Caenorhabditis elegans: one gene and its partner. The protein of the gene in region 1 purifies or fractionates together with the protein of each later gene. This does not show direct contact. Each region holds a gene or a part of one and is shown in the gene's direction. Other genes may lie near its edges.

The links. Proteins that work in one complex are often made in the same cells at the same time.
Region 2: the proteins of C15A11.2 (region 1) and daf-25 fractionate together in Caenorhabditis elegans (co-fractionation; one large-scale study listed by BioGRID). This does not show direct contact.

The regions. Positions count from the first base shown.
Region 1 is NC_003279.8:7,382,367-7,389,301, forward strand, and holds C15A11.2 (Protein PXR1-like), read left to right. Parts: upstream 1-2,031; 5' UTR 2,032-2,151; intron 2,152-3,540; coding exon of another isoform or gene 3,541-4,569; intron 4,570-4,839; exon of another isoform or gene 4,840-4,860; intron 4,861-5,714; 5' UTR 5,715-5,743; coding exon 5,744-6,163; intron 6,164-6,248; coding exon 6,249-6,350; 3' UTR 6,351-6,429; downstream 6,430-6,935. Other genes in the region: unc-15 (Paramyosin), read right to left, coding at 601-717; col-35 (Nematode cuticle collagen N-terminal domain-containing protein), read right to left, coding at 3,541-4,569; sol-1 (Suppressor of lurcher protein 1), read right to left, coding at 6,740-6,935.
Region 2 is NC_003279.8:331,026-338,351, forward strand, and holds daf-25 (Dauer abnormal formation protein 25), read left to right. Parts: upstream 1-1,578; 5' UTR 1,579-1,587; coding exon 1,588-1,739; intron 1,740-1,820; coding exon 1,821-1,924; intron 1,925-2,765; coding exon 2,766-3,085; intron 3,086-4,683; coding exon 4,684-5,118; intron 5,119-6,539; coding exon 6,540-6,695; 3' UTR 6,696-6,820; downstream 6,821-7,326. UniProt on the Caenorhabditis elegans protein: May be involved in the trafficking and dendritic transport of signaling proteins, such as the receptor-type guanylate cyclases gcy-12 and daf-11, to the cilia.

The DNA.
Region 1 (6,935 bases):
TGTTTTTTCAAAGAAAAAAAGCGTAATTTTTGTTTTTTATAAGTGCTATATTTGAAAATCTGAGAATTAGGGTTCTACTTTTTCTTGGAAATATATGTAAGCAAGCAGTAAGTTAAACAAAGGTTGCAAATCTTAGTTACACAAAGAAACTAGTTGCCGAGATGAATGATGAACAGATTTTTCAAAATGAAGATTTAGAATAAGGAATCTAAAGGTTTAATTATAGAGAAAACTAGGAAGTTTAAAAATTTTTCTGAAAATAGTGTTTTGGCTCGGAATATTGTTTTATTCCATACATTTTGATGCAGAAAAATAATATTTACAAAACTGAAAACGCCGTTATTTGTCAATCATTCAATTTAGGGACAAAACAAACATTTTTCTTGAGACTGAGGAGTACTGTAAAACTACAATTTGAGATTTTTCAAGTTTTTCAATTCTTCGTTGCTATATTAGATGCCTTTTTTACTAAAATTTAAATTACAGATATAATTCAAAATATCAGTCAATGAAACATCGATTCGATGAAAAATGGAACACGGGTTTTGGGGTTTTGGCAGTGAAATGTTCAGAAATGGTAGAAAACATTCAAAAATTTACCTCGAGTCTGGTGAGTGATCCAAGATCGGCGACGGACATGCTGCCAAATGGAGCACCGAACGCTGCTTGCGACGGGCTCTTAAGAAGAGCAGCGGATGGCGAACGATACAATGACATGATCAAATGGAGTATTCAAATGGATGGTGCCCCTGTGTGTGCTGCTGGCTGGCTGGCTGCTTCGAGACTGACTGATTGTGCGTTGGGGCTCTGCCGTCGGGAAGACACATACACACATATCTCATCCCGCGCCGTTGCGTCGTCGATCGTCTCTCTGTCTCCAAGTATCTCTCATCATCAACTTCTACGAAGGTAGTGTGCCCGGCAGGGAGCGAGAGAGGAGCCTCAGTGTAATCCTTCTTGCCTAGCACTGAGCCACCCTCCCACTCTACGCTGCGTATCTGATAAATGCCATTGTGTTTTTGCCAACGAGTTGGCGGGATACGATCTCGAGAAGAGCGCGCCGAGAGCCGAAGCGCAGACGATGCATCAGGCACCCGCGGGCCAGGAGGTTTTAAACATTCGAATGATATTGGTTTGGTTCGGGTTGAGGCGACACGGAAGAAATTCAGCAAAAAGGGATGAGCACAGACAAAAAACATCGGGATCCACCAAAAACTTCAACTCGTGTTTGTGTGTGCCTTTTGAATGTCCGAAAGGGCAGGTGTGAACTTTGACGAACGGATAGTAAAACGAAGACCACTTAAGAAAAAAGAAACACAAAACCAGAAAAAGCGAGACTGAACTGCCATTAATCGAATGCCATTCCACCTATCAGTAATCAACTCTTACTTTATTCAGGCTCTTCAAGCCTGGGTTGTCTCCAATTTTCATTAAAGTTTCTCAGAACTATACTGTTACCTTTTAGATGATCCATTTTCATAAATTTATAAAAGTCTTCTATTAATGGTAATACGTCTATACAGTCGAAATATTGAAGAATTCCAAAACTCGGTTGTCAACTATTTGAAATTCCTTAATTACAGATAGTTATGCTCTCTTCTTGTCCATATCTATTAATACACTTCCTTAATTGATAGCCTTGTCATATATGATCTGATCAATGTTTTAAAAAGTTCTTGGATCTCATATTCTGAAGAAATAAGTGCGAAGTGTGTAATAATTGAGTGTATCCCGGAGAATGTGTGTGTGTGTGCGTGTGTGAGGGGGTGGGGGAGCGTATCACAACAAATTGTGATGAAATCAAGTTTTTATTACTTCTATAATAACTTGGTATTCAATTTCCAATATATCGGCTCTTCCGAATGTTTTTTCATTAATGAAAAATAGGCTTGATAAACTGATTTTCAAACTGAAATTGTGTCATGACGTCAAAAAATCAACGTTTTCACTCCAAATCCCGTTACTTCTTGTGACTCATGTCATTTTTAAATAAGTGTTGTGAAATTTCAAAATCTTTTCTAAATTTTCAGAATTTTACTTCCATTACGACTGATCAACCAGACAACAAAATACTCTTGTTGAGCAGTGTCAGCTGACAAATCGTGATGACCGAGATAATTAGTTGGTTGCAGAAGCAGGGGATGGTGAAATGTACTGACATTCGTTTGAACTTAATTTCAGATTTGATTATAAAGAAAAAATCTTGAACATTGTAAGTTGATGTTTATTGATTGCAAAAACTAGGATGGTTTTACCCCGCTAACAACTTTCTGAGGAAATATCGATTGTCGCACATTTCCATTCCAAAACGTGACAAAAACTTATAAAATGTAATAGAAAACGGTAGACCATTTATATTTAACTTTTACAAAGAGTGGACATACCTTTGAATAGTTTTTGTTAGACTTTAGTAAGGCCAGATTTTGGTTAAACCTTGCATACGATTTCCACAAGATTTCTAGCAGTGCTGCCGCTTGTTAAAATTATTTTTAACATAACTTCGAGAATATATGCTAATAATGCTGTAAGTTTTCTCTCAAGATAGAAACTTGGAACTACTGGATTTATCATTTTGTAGACAACTATCCAAAACAAAGGTAGATCAAAGCATTTTAATTTGTTGATATCTTCCAGATTTATGCAGTGAAACATGTTAAAGTGAAATATACTTGTAGACCGTATTTCATTTTATCTTTTTTGTTTTTAGCACTATTCCTTTTATTAGGAGAAGATCTAAAAACAACATTTTTTAAAGATATTTGCATATTTTTAAGTTATGCAATTTTGATTAATAGCTATATATTTGTCACCTTTCCATCTTTTGTCCATCCATTTTTTTCGTGATCATTACAAAGAATCTCTTCAATAGAATTCCCTCCAGAAGCCGCCCATTCTCTCTCATCGGTCTCCACTGCCATCTCAATATCTTTTTTTGCCACCGTACACTCTCTGAACTCTTCAGTGACAAGCCCACATCTCACACTCTTCTTCTACTACACATGCTTCTCTATCACATTTCTTTTTGTGCCTTCGTTGAAATGGCAGAAGGGTCCGGGAGCACAGAGGATCTTTCTCTCTGTGCTACTCGAGGAGCAAGAATGAAGAAGCATTTTTCGGCCCCGCATTATTGTTTTAAAGTATTGGCAACTGGGAGGAAAAGAGATATAGATACTCAGCAAAGGAGGACGATAATGAAAAATTTCAGCCGAAACATGAGATCAATCTTCAAAAGAATATTAGAGGGAACATGTCAAAATGTTCAGATTTTAGAAAAAAAAAATTTGTTTGAAAAAAATTTTAAAAATTTCGGAATTGAGTATTTGAAGATAGTTTCGAAATCATTTGAAAGTTACTGTTCTGATATTATACAAATATCTAAAATAATTCGAAAGCACCGAGAGGAGCTTATGTGGTTTTGCTATGATTTTTTGTTTCATGTTATCAAATGTTTACAGCTGAAAATAATAAAATCAATACTGTTTAGCTTGAAGAAATTTTATTGCAATAAAATTCATCACATTCCAGAAAAATTTAAGTTGATTAGAATCGAGCACGACGACGGACGACAGCGCTTCCACTGTATGTTCCTGTGGCTCCATCTCCAGCTCCAGCTCCTGCATCCGGTGCACCACCGGCAGCTCCAGAGCTTGCATCCGCACCTGTAGCAGCACCTGCTGGAGCTTCTTGGGCCAATCCTGCTGTTCTTGGTGGGCATGGACAATAGGCGGCGTCGACTCCTGGTGCTCCATCTGTTCCTGGCCCTCCTGGCGCTCCTGGAGCTCCTGCTTCTCCGTCTTTTCCTGGTGGGCCCGGTGGCCCCGGTGGTCCTGGTGGGGATTCTGGAGCAGCAGCGTCTTCTCCAGCTGGTCCAGCTGGTCCTGGAGGTCCAGCCGGTCCAGGAGATCCCGGTTCGTTGGTACTTGTAGTTCCTGCGGCTCCTGGTTGTCCATTTGGTCCTGGTGCTCCTGGCTGCCCATCTGGCCCCGGTGGTCCGGCTGGTCCTGCTGGTCCAGCTTCTCCTGGTCCAGCAGCATCTCCATCAGCTCCAGGAGCTCCTGATGGTCCTTCTGGTCCAGCATTTCCATCTGGTCCCGGTGGCCCTGGTGGTCCAGCAGGACATTTGATACAGTTACCTTCGACTCCAAGGAAACTATCAGCAACTCCTGCAGCTCCATTCTCTCCATCAGTTCCAGCGGTTCCAGGCTCTCCAGGCGCTCCATCTTCTCCTGGTGCTCCTGGTGGTCCTGCTGGACAACCAGTTGATTGAGCAGCACAGTTACATTCTCTTTCTGTACCTCCGCCGGTTGCATATCCAGCAGCTCTCTTTGCAAGAATATATCTTCCAAATGATGGAGACGTTGCTTGATTCTGAGGAAGATTTTCTCGAACCATTTTATTCCAAACATCATTGGCTCGAGATTTGAAATGAACCATTTCGCTGTTGATATTCATTTCAAATTGTTGAATATCAAGAGAAATTGAGTAAAGAGTCAGCAATGATGCGACAACGATCAACGAGCAGCCGATCGTCGACGAAAGAATAAAATAATAGGATGTACTGTGGGACATTGGATACCAAATGAGTGATGTTTTCTTCCATTTCCACTTACTTATATATGAATTATTTTTGTACTGATCCAATCGGTTTCTTGTTCCGATATTCATCTTTTATTACAACACAACCGTTTGATATCTAGTTTTATGTTTTACTATTCATTTACTATGAGAATAAAAAAGTTTCTGCAGTACTGTAGGAAACTATACCGGCAGAATAATGCTTCCAGAACTAATTTTTTCTAATTGAGGTTCCGTGGAAAAATATCGTTTTAGCAATTGAGATAACTAAAATTTTTCGAGAGACTTAAAAAAAAGAAAATTTTCATATTTATGCATGAATTGAAAACGTGAATTTTTCTTATTTAATTTTAATAAGATTCCACGGGCGAATATTTTGTTTAATAAATATGAAGTTTCTGAATTCATATTTGCCATTGCTAAGTTTTGAGCAACTCGACGTTCGTATTTTTCTTGTTTCTCGGTTGAAAAAGTGAGTTTGTTTGCAACATTTTTTTACCGATTAGAGCTTCTCTCTTTGTTAGCTCACCGCGAACAGTGTGTACAACTTTGTGTCTAGGAGGCAGGCCTTCACCTACCTGCCTACCAACCGCCTACTTTTTTCAGAACTTCCGCGCGGTCGCCAGTGGTTGGTGCTTGCATAGCGTAGATTTACATATTTAATCTTTTCCCATCAATTTTCTTTCGAAAATCAAAAAAATATATAATTTCCGGATAACATAACAGTAGGCATAGGTAGGCAGGCGAATTTTTATGTGCCTCCTTAGAAGGCTTTGTGTGAAAATAGTAATACACGCTTTGAGGTGTTCCATGCCATAGCAAACTAAATTGGGGCTGCGTGGACATTTCTCCAACTTTCTATCGATCGAGCATGTTTCGATTCAAATTACACAAAGTCACGTTATCCGAGTCAATTTGAAAATTCGTGAAATTTCCATACTGTCCTTTGAGAAGTGGAATTTTAATTAATTTAAATTAATTAATAACAATATGGTTTTGCCGTGAGACTTATCATTATGCAAACGTGCCTAGTTTATAAAAAATTGTGGTTATTTCCACCTAGGTCCTAGAAGCTGTACATAAGAACTTGTTGGTAATTTTTTTTTTCTGCTCAACTTATATATTTTGATTTATTGTAGACTTTCGATTTATTGCAATAAGGATTGAAATGGGCAACAAAAGCAAGAATACAAAGAAAGAAGGTGCGGAGAAAAAGAGATCAAAGACGAAGACAGCCAAGAAGAAAACCTCCACTCTCACGCATTCAAAATCCGTGACATCGACGGATCCAAAAGAATATGAGAAAGAAAAACGACGTGATGATAAGGATGTTTTAAGAATGACAAAAGAAGATGTTGGGAAAGAGAGAAAGAAGGAGGCACCGAAGAAGGAACAATCGAAGGATCAATTGGTAAAGGAGCAACCAAAAGAGCAACCAAAAGAGCAACCAAAGGAGCAGCCTAAGGAGCAACCTAAGGATCAGGCGAAGGATGTAGTAAAGGATATAGCTAAACCCCCATTGAAGGAACAACCAAAAGAACAACCAAAGGAACAGCCAAAGAAGAAAGAAGAGGAAAAAACAAGCAAGGTTAAATCATATCAAATATACACTGATTTTTAACTAATGTTGAATCATTTTTCCACTTTAAAATTTCTAATATCATAATTTTCAGAACATGGAGATAAGTGGAATGGATATGGTTATGAAGGACGACGGGAAGAAGACAAAAATGGACGATGGTTACGAGGATTTCGGTCCAGGTGCAGCTCAATAAGAAATAAGATGAAATGACAAGAAGGAACAAAATAATGCTAATGAAAAAACCTTTACTTGAATAAATGTATGATCTTTTAGTTTTTGATTTTGATACAAGTCCGATTTTCCGAATTTCAGGTACTTTTTCGAGAAAAGAAAGCTTTCCTTGCCTGTTTTTGCATGCGAAATAGTTATTTTTCTAGTAAGCTGAGGAAGATGGACGTTTGCGTTTTCCCGGTTTAACCCATATTTCTAAAATCCAAAAGAGTTTTTTTCCAGAGAAAGTTAAATTCATTTTGAATTGAATTTGACTGTTTTCAATGAAAACATTAAAGTGTTCAATAAATGAACAAAGAAAACAAATTTATAAAAACTAAAAAAAAACACGAAAAAATGTATTTAAGTCAGCTAAAAAATGTTGGCAATGTATCGAAAGGTGAACAATAATATCACAAGGAAAAATGAGGAGAACGGAGTTTGGCTAGAAGATATCGTGAGCTTGACCCGACTGATTTGAGATTTCTCTTGAGTGATAAACTGATAATGTGCATAAAATCCGGTTGCATCAAAGATGTCATTCGTTGAGAAAATCATTCGAAAGTAA
Region 2 (7,326 bases), 7.1 Mb from region 1:
CATACGTTTGTCAATATCTCGATTAATTTTTGAAGTTTTCCAATTGACTCGCGCATTTTCTAAAAAGTTTTTAAACTTTACATTGAAAATACCCCTCTAACTCGAATATCTGATTTTATTGGAATTTTGAGTTTTTTTAGGTTAAAAAATTCTTGTGCTAAAATCATCCATTATAGTTCGTAAGTCAGCAAATTTTGGCTCAAACTTAGAGCGATTTCCAATTTATGGAGTTTTTTGTTCAGAATTCTCGAAATTTTCTCATTTCTGGAAATTTTGAGTCTACGAGTCACACAGTTGTTCCGTAATTAGCTTCACTTACATCTCCTCAACTCTGCAAACTCTCAAACTTTCGGGAAAGGGTCTCGCCACGAAATCACGGGTGGGCGGCAATTGCAGTTCGGCAAATTGCCGGTTTGCCGGAAATTTTCAATCCCGGCAAAATTCCGTTTGCCGGAAGTTTTTAAACGGGATCTTTTATAAGACGGAAACACTTAAAACTGCCATTTTTAATTTTTTGCCCGTTTTCTCTAAATATTTTCATAGAATTTACTGACTTTTTAGGATAGATGTTTTCATGGGATGTGCACATGTTGTTCCGGCAAATCGGTAATTGCCGAAAATTTGAAAAACGACAATTTGCCAAAAAAATCGTTTGCCGTTCACCCCTGTATTGTACCATTTTTGGCGAAAATGCGCGTAAATTAATATGCTTGCGTGTGTAATATTTCGTTCATATATTCTAAATATACGCACCTTTTGAAATATTCATAATATATGCATTTACGTACGTTCGAGAATATTTTGGGAATACACATTTATCATCATTCCCACCCGTTGCCATAGTATCCTCATCCCCGCCCCGCCCCGCCCCTTTCTCTCATTTCCTCTTCCAAATCCTTAATGGCTCATCCGGTCATTGGAGAGATATGGCAGATGTGGCGGTTTTGACGAATGTTCTGGAGAACTCGAATTTTATATAACTATTAGACAATTTCGATATTAAAAACATTTATATGTAAAATTTTCAATTTTTTGAATTTGCTCGCCGAATTTTGACTTTCTGACAATTGTGTGTCGATTTACGAGGGTTATGTATATTTACGATATGTTTTTAATCATTATCGAATGCTGATTTCCGTTTTTCTACGAGTTGTCTTCATTTTCGTTGGTTTTTTTTTGTTTTTTTTTTTTGAAAGTGTATTTTTTAAGGTCAAAAAACTAGAAAAATATTCAGTTTTCAGTCAGGAAAACCATTTATTTGGTTTTTTCAATATTAAAAAAATTATTGGGAAAAATGAATGAAACTCGTCGAAAAACGAAAATCATCATTCGATAAAGATTAAATATTTCGTAAATCGACACACATGTCTCCGCCGCGAAAAATCGAAATTTCATAGAGGCATAAAAATTCACAATATTTTAGTTTTTTTATTTTTTATTTTAATCCAAATCCCTATTCATGCTTAGATTTTTAGGTGTTTTTCTGTAAAAAATCAAAAAATTGTATATTACTCATAAATTTTTCCAATTTTCTCAAACCTTGGATCTCGCCACGACATTATTAAAAAATTCCCGTTTTCTGCAGAAATGACGACAACGGAAGAAGCTCCCAAATCGCCGCTTTTCGAGGCAATCGACAAAAATGACACTGAAGCAGCGCTGGCACTGCTGAAAACGAAGGAACAAGCCGCTCAACGGGATCCCAGTGGAATGAGTGTGCTGGCAGCTGCCGCGTATAGGTATGCACCTTTAAAGCGGCGACGGTTACTGTATCCTCGCAGATTGTTTAAAGGTACATACCGTAATCCGTTGAATTTCAGAGGAAATCTTACGTTGGTCGAGAAAGCGATTGAGCTGAAATGTGATGTGAATGATAAAACCGATGGAACTCTGTACACTCCACTCATGTTTGCCGCCTTATCAGGTAGGGCAAAAATTTTTTAAAAAAATTTTTTGCGTCAAATTTGATGCAAATTCTGGTTTTTTACCGTTGAAAAGTAAAAAAAAATTCCGAAAAAATCGATTTTTATGCTAACAACAAACTTTTAAGTGAAAAATCGTGGAAAATTAGACCCAAATCACGTATTTTTGATCTGAAATTCAATTTAGCGAAAAGTCATCGAAATTTTATGGTTTTCGCGGTGAGACCCAATATTCGCAATTTTTTTTTGCACCAAATACAACACATTTGACGCGCAAATTCAAATTTTTGAAACTTTTTTCCGTTTTTACAATATTTTTAGGCTGAACCCCAATATTTGAAAAAAAAAAAACCAATACACTATATTTTACGCGCAAATGTTAAATTTTTATTTAAAATCCTCGTAAAGTTCTATTTTCTTTTTTTGATCGTTTTCAAGCTCAAAAATTCAAATTTCAATTCGAAATATTACCGGAACACAAAATTCTGAAAATGCGTACTGGTCAACATATTTGACGCGCAAAATATCTCGTAGCGAAAACTACAGTAATTCATTAAATGACTACGGTAACGCTTGTGTCGATTTACGGGCTCGTTATTAAAAATCATTAATTTCAAAAAAATCGAGCCCGTAAATCACCACAAGCGCTACCGTAGTCATTTAATGAATTACTGTAGTTTTCGCTACGAGATATTTTGCGCGTCAAATATGCTCAATACACATTCTCAGAATTTTGCGTTAACGTATTACTACTTTCTTAGTTTTTCCAAAAAAAAAATTCGAATACACCATATTTGACGCGCAAACTTTTTTTTTCAAAGCAAAATTGTCAAACGTTTGCAGGAAAACAGGACGTATGCCGCCTGCTAATGGACTCCGGAGCCCGTATGTATTTGGTGAATGGAATCGGAAAAACCGCCTCTGAACTGGCGGCATTTGTGGGTCATCACGAGTGTGTGGCAATTATCAATAATCATATAACAATTGATGTGATCGAAGATCTTTTGCGGCCAAAAGTGAATGGAAAATATGAAGGAGCTGAGGAATATCCGGATGAGCTGGCTGTATTTATTCATTCATTGTGTGGATCACATGAGATTCATCCTGTTAAGATTATTTTTCGATTCAGTAAATATCCCGATTCGTTGAAGTATAAGAAAAAGGTACATAGCTGTGTAGTTTGGAAAAAAAACGAAAAATCTGAAAATTTGAGAAATTTCCTTAAGCTTTTTCAAGATGCGCATTTTTGTTCATTCTTATTTTCAAAAAAATCCAAAAAGTTTTTTAAAAAATTTAATAAAGCATTCTTTTTAATTTCAAAACAAAAAAGTTATACCAAATAAAAACTTTTAGTAATCAAAATTTTTCACTTTTTCTCGGTTTTTCTCATCGTTTTTCAAATTTGAGATCTCTTCCTGAATTTTGCCTAAAAATTGATTTTTTCAAAATATTTTCAGAAATGATTCTTTCTGTGAAAAAATGTTTGAAAATGCGAAAATATTCGAAACTAAAAAAACTTTTATTAAAATAAATTTTTGAAATTTTTCAGAATTTAAAAATTGAATCGAATTAGGTATCAGTAGTTTTCAGATCGATTTTTTCGAATTTCTGAATTTGTTAAAAACTAGAAATTAAAAAAAAAACTTTTGATGTTAAATGTTTTTCGAGATTAAAATAAACCGAAAACCCAAAAAAAATGTAAAAATTGTGTTCTTTTTGTTATAATAAACCAGAATTTTCTCGAAATTTTCAGAAGGTTCTAGAATATTTCAGAATTTTCTCGAAATTTCCAAAAGGTTCTAGAACATTTCAGAATTTTCTCGAAATTTTCAGAAGGTTCTAGAACATTCCAGAATTTTCTCGAAATTTTCAGAAGGTTCTAGAATAGTTCAGAATTTTCTCGAAATTTCCAAAAGGTTCTAGAACATTACATAATTTTCTCGAAATTTCCAGAAGGTTCTAGAACATTCCAGAATTTTCTCGAAATTTTCAGAAGGTTCTAGAATATTTCAGAATTTTCTCGAAATTTCCAAAAGGTTCTAGAACATTTCAGAATTTTCTCGAAATTTTCAGAAGGTTCTAGAATATTTCAGAATTTTCTCGAAATTTCCAAAAGGTTCTAGAACATTACAGAATTTTCTCGAAATTTCCAAAAGGTTCTAGAACATTACAGAATTTTCTCGAAATTTTCAGAAGGTTCTAGAATATTTCAGAATTTTCTCGAAATTTCCAAAAGGTTCTAGAACAATCCAGAATAATGTTTTCAAAAAATTCAAATTTGAATTCCCGCCAAAATGTTTTCAAAAAATTAAAATTCGAATTTCCCGCCAAAATATGTACAGTACTCCTACAGTACCTCTACAGTACTACTACAGTACCCCGACCATATCCCACTACTAACCCCAAACCTATATCTCTTCAAAAGACTAAAACACAATTTTTCCTAAACTACAGTAATCCTACCGTACTCCTACAGTACTACTACAGTACCCCCACCATATCCCACTACTAACCCCAAACCTATATCTCTTCAAAAGACTAAAACACAATTTTTCCTAAACTACAGTAATCCTACCGTACTCCTACAGTACTCCTACAGTACTACTACAGTACCCCGACCATATCCCACTACTAAGCCCAAACTAATATCCCTCCATCAGCCGAAAACGCCTTGCCTTTGTAAACTATGACGTCACTACTTAACAAACGGACACTATTTTTTTATATTTTTTTTTCAAAGCAAAAACCACCCATTTTCCAGATCCTCTACGTCATCGATCGTGTCTTCGAGAAACAGCTTCGATGTAAGGAAAGCAATGAAATAATGTCGCTCAAGCTTTGGCTAATTCTATTTTCAATGCGTGAAACCTCGAAATTCGTGGAGTCGAACAAGGAAAAGTCGCCAGAAGAAGCGTCTCTACAGTACGCAAAACTGATTTCCACGTGGCAAGAGGGCGATGAAACTAGGCGAGCACTTGACGTGATGCTGAGAAATGCGGTTGCTTCGTTCCCGTATAAACATTCATTACTTCATGATACTCTACAAAAAGCACTGCAAAAAAGTCAAATTGGTGAACGACCAAGTGCCTATGAATACATTGTTCAGGCACTTTTCGGACAACGAATCGCTGCGGTCTGCCAGTTTTGCTCGGTTTGCGGACATCCTGGAGCCAAGAAACGGTGCACACAGTGCAAAGTATGGAGTTTTTAGGGTTAAAAATAATTATTTAATAATTTAATAAAGCTCGAATTTGGGAAATAATCAATTCCAAATTTTAAAAATATGGAAAAAATTTTATTCCGTTACATTTTATGAATTTTCCCACAAACTCGGCATTTGGCTCTAGCTTCTTGCCCAAGTTTAGCCCAAAAAATATTAACTTGAAGCTGTCTAAACTTGGGCAAAAGTTAGACAAAACTTTGGCAAAACTTGGATTCAAGCTTTACCAAGGTCTAACCCAAGTTTCACCCAACTCTTGCCAAACTTTGGCCCAAACTTTTCTTATTTCGTTTCAAATTTGGGCCAAAGTTTGGCAAGAGTTGGGTGAAACTTGGGTTAGACTTTGGTAAAGCTTGAATCCAAGTTTTGCCAAAGTCTTGCCTAACTTTTGCCCAAGTTTAGACAGCTTCTGATCCAAGTTAACATTTTTTGGGCTAAACTTGGGCAAGAAGCAAGAGCCAAATGCCGAGAAACTCGAATAAAAATTGAAAGTTTTCAAAATTTCAGTTCGTTTTTAATTTACAAAATTTGGCAGCTCTAACAATTCTTTAAAGATTCTTTAAATTAAAAAAAAGAATTATTAAAACTTTTTAAAAAAATTCATTCTGTAGAAAATTCCCGTAAAATACTCTTTGAAAATCCGGGAAAAAACTTCAAAAAACAAAAATAAATTCTAGACATTCTGTAAATATCGAAAAAAGAACATTTTGTCTGTAAATGTATTAGTCAAAATTAATTTCTGATACTTTTTCCAATTTTTCAAAATTTTAAGTGTCGAGGTTCAATTTTTTTGAATTTCCTGTTTTTCCTTTATTAAAAAAAGTTTTCTATAATATGCTGTATTTGAAAATTAAAAACTATATCTGAAAATATCGAGGCACAACGTTTTCAAGATCTGGTGAAATTCCGGATCTACGTTTTCCGGATCTACCATTTCCGGATCTACGTTTTCCGGATCTGGCACCGTGCCAACGCACAAAACGCTTTTTTGTTCACTCGACGCACGTTGTTTTTTGAAAATTTCTTCTAGAAGAAACGCTTAACAACACGCGACGCGTAACAACGGAGCATCGTTATCACGTTTTTCTCCGAGAAAAATAGCGTTTTAAGAGTTGGCACGGTGCCAGATCCGGAAATGGTAGATCCGGAAAACGGAGATCCGGAATTCCGCCAGATCTTGAAAATGTGGTGCCTCAAAATATCGATTAAAGAATTTTTTCTGAAAAATATCCAATTTTTCAACAACAGAATAGCTAAAAAGTGAAAAAAAACTCAATTCTCATTATAAATTGCAAACAATTTCCAAATTTTGATAAAATGGAAAAGAGTTTAAAAATTTCAGGCAACACATTTTTTAACTCTAGTAAACGTTTTTTAAATTCCAACAATTTTTACAGCTCGCCTACTGTTCCCAAGAATGCCAAAAATTCGACTGGCCAATTCACAAAAAAGTGTGCTCATTTCTGAAAACGCGACAAGAAGTGTCGCCCACCGACGAGACCGCCATGTCGCTGGACGATATTCAGGCTCAAATCGCCAAAATCGACGTGTAGAAGTGCCGATATTTCGATCTCAATATACTTTTTTTCTGGAATTTATTTATTTTTAATGTATATTTCGGCTTCATCTCATTGCACGAACTTTTAATTTCATTTTCATAAATTCATTTTTGAAGTCATTCCTTGAACAAAAATTCACTAAAACATGCATTAAGAAATATGGAATCCAAAAATTAATCTAAAAACCTTTTCAAAAAACCACTTCGTCAAAAACTGATGATGGAAACTCGTTGAAAAACGGAAAGAGTATCCAATAAAGATTAAAAATTTCGACATTTCGTAAATCGACACAAATCTCGTAAATCGACAAAAATGAAAAAATCAGGAACCCAAGAAATTCAATATTCTCATTTGTAAAGACAACTGGTAAAACATTTTCAAATCAAAAAATTATTTTTTTTGCCCTCAAAATTGATCTCCGAATACTATAAAAAAGAAAACTATAAAAAGTGGCGAAAATTCGAAATTTTTTAACCCCTCTAAAATGGTTCATTTTAGTTGTCTAATGATACAACAAAGTAGACATAGTTCTACAATATCTGATAAATACTTGAAAAGTCTAAAAACAAAAGTTTTTTCGTTTTTTTAACGGATTTTTAAAATCCAGAAGAACGAAAAAAAATTT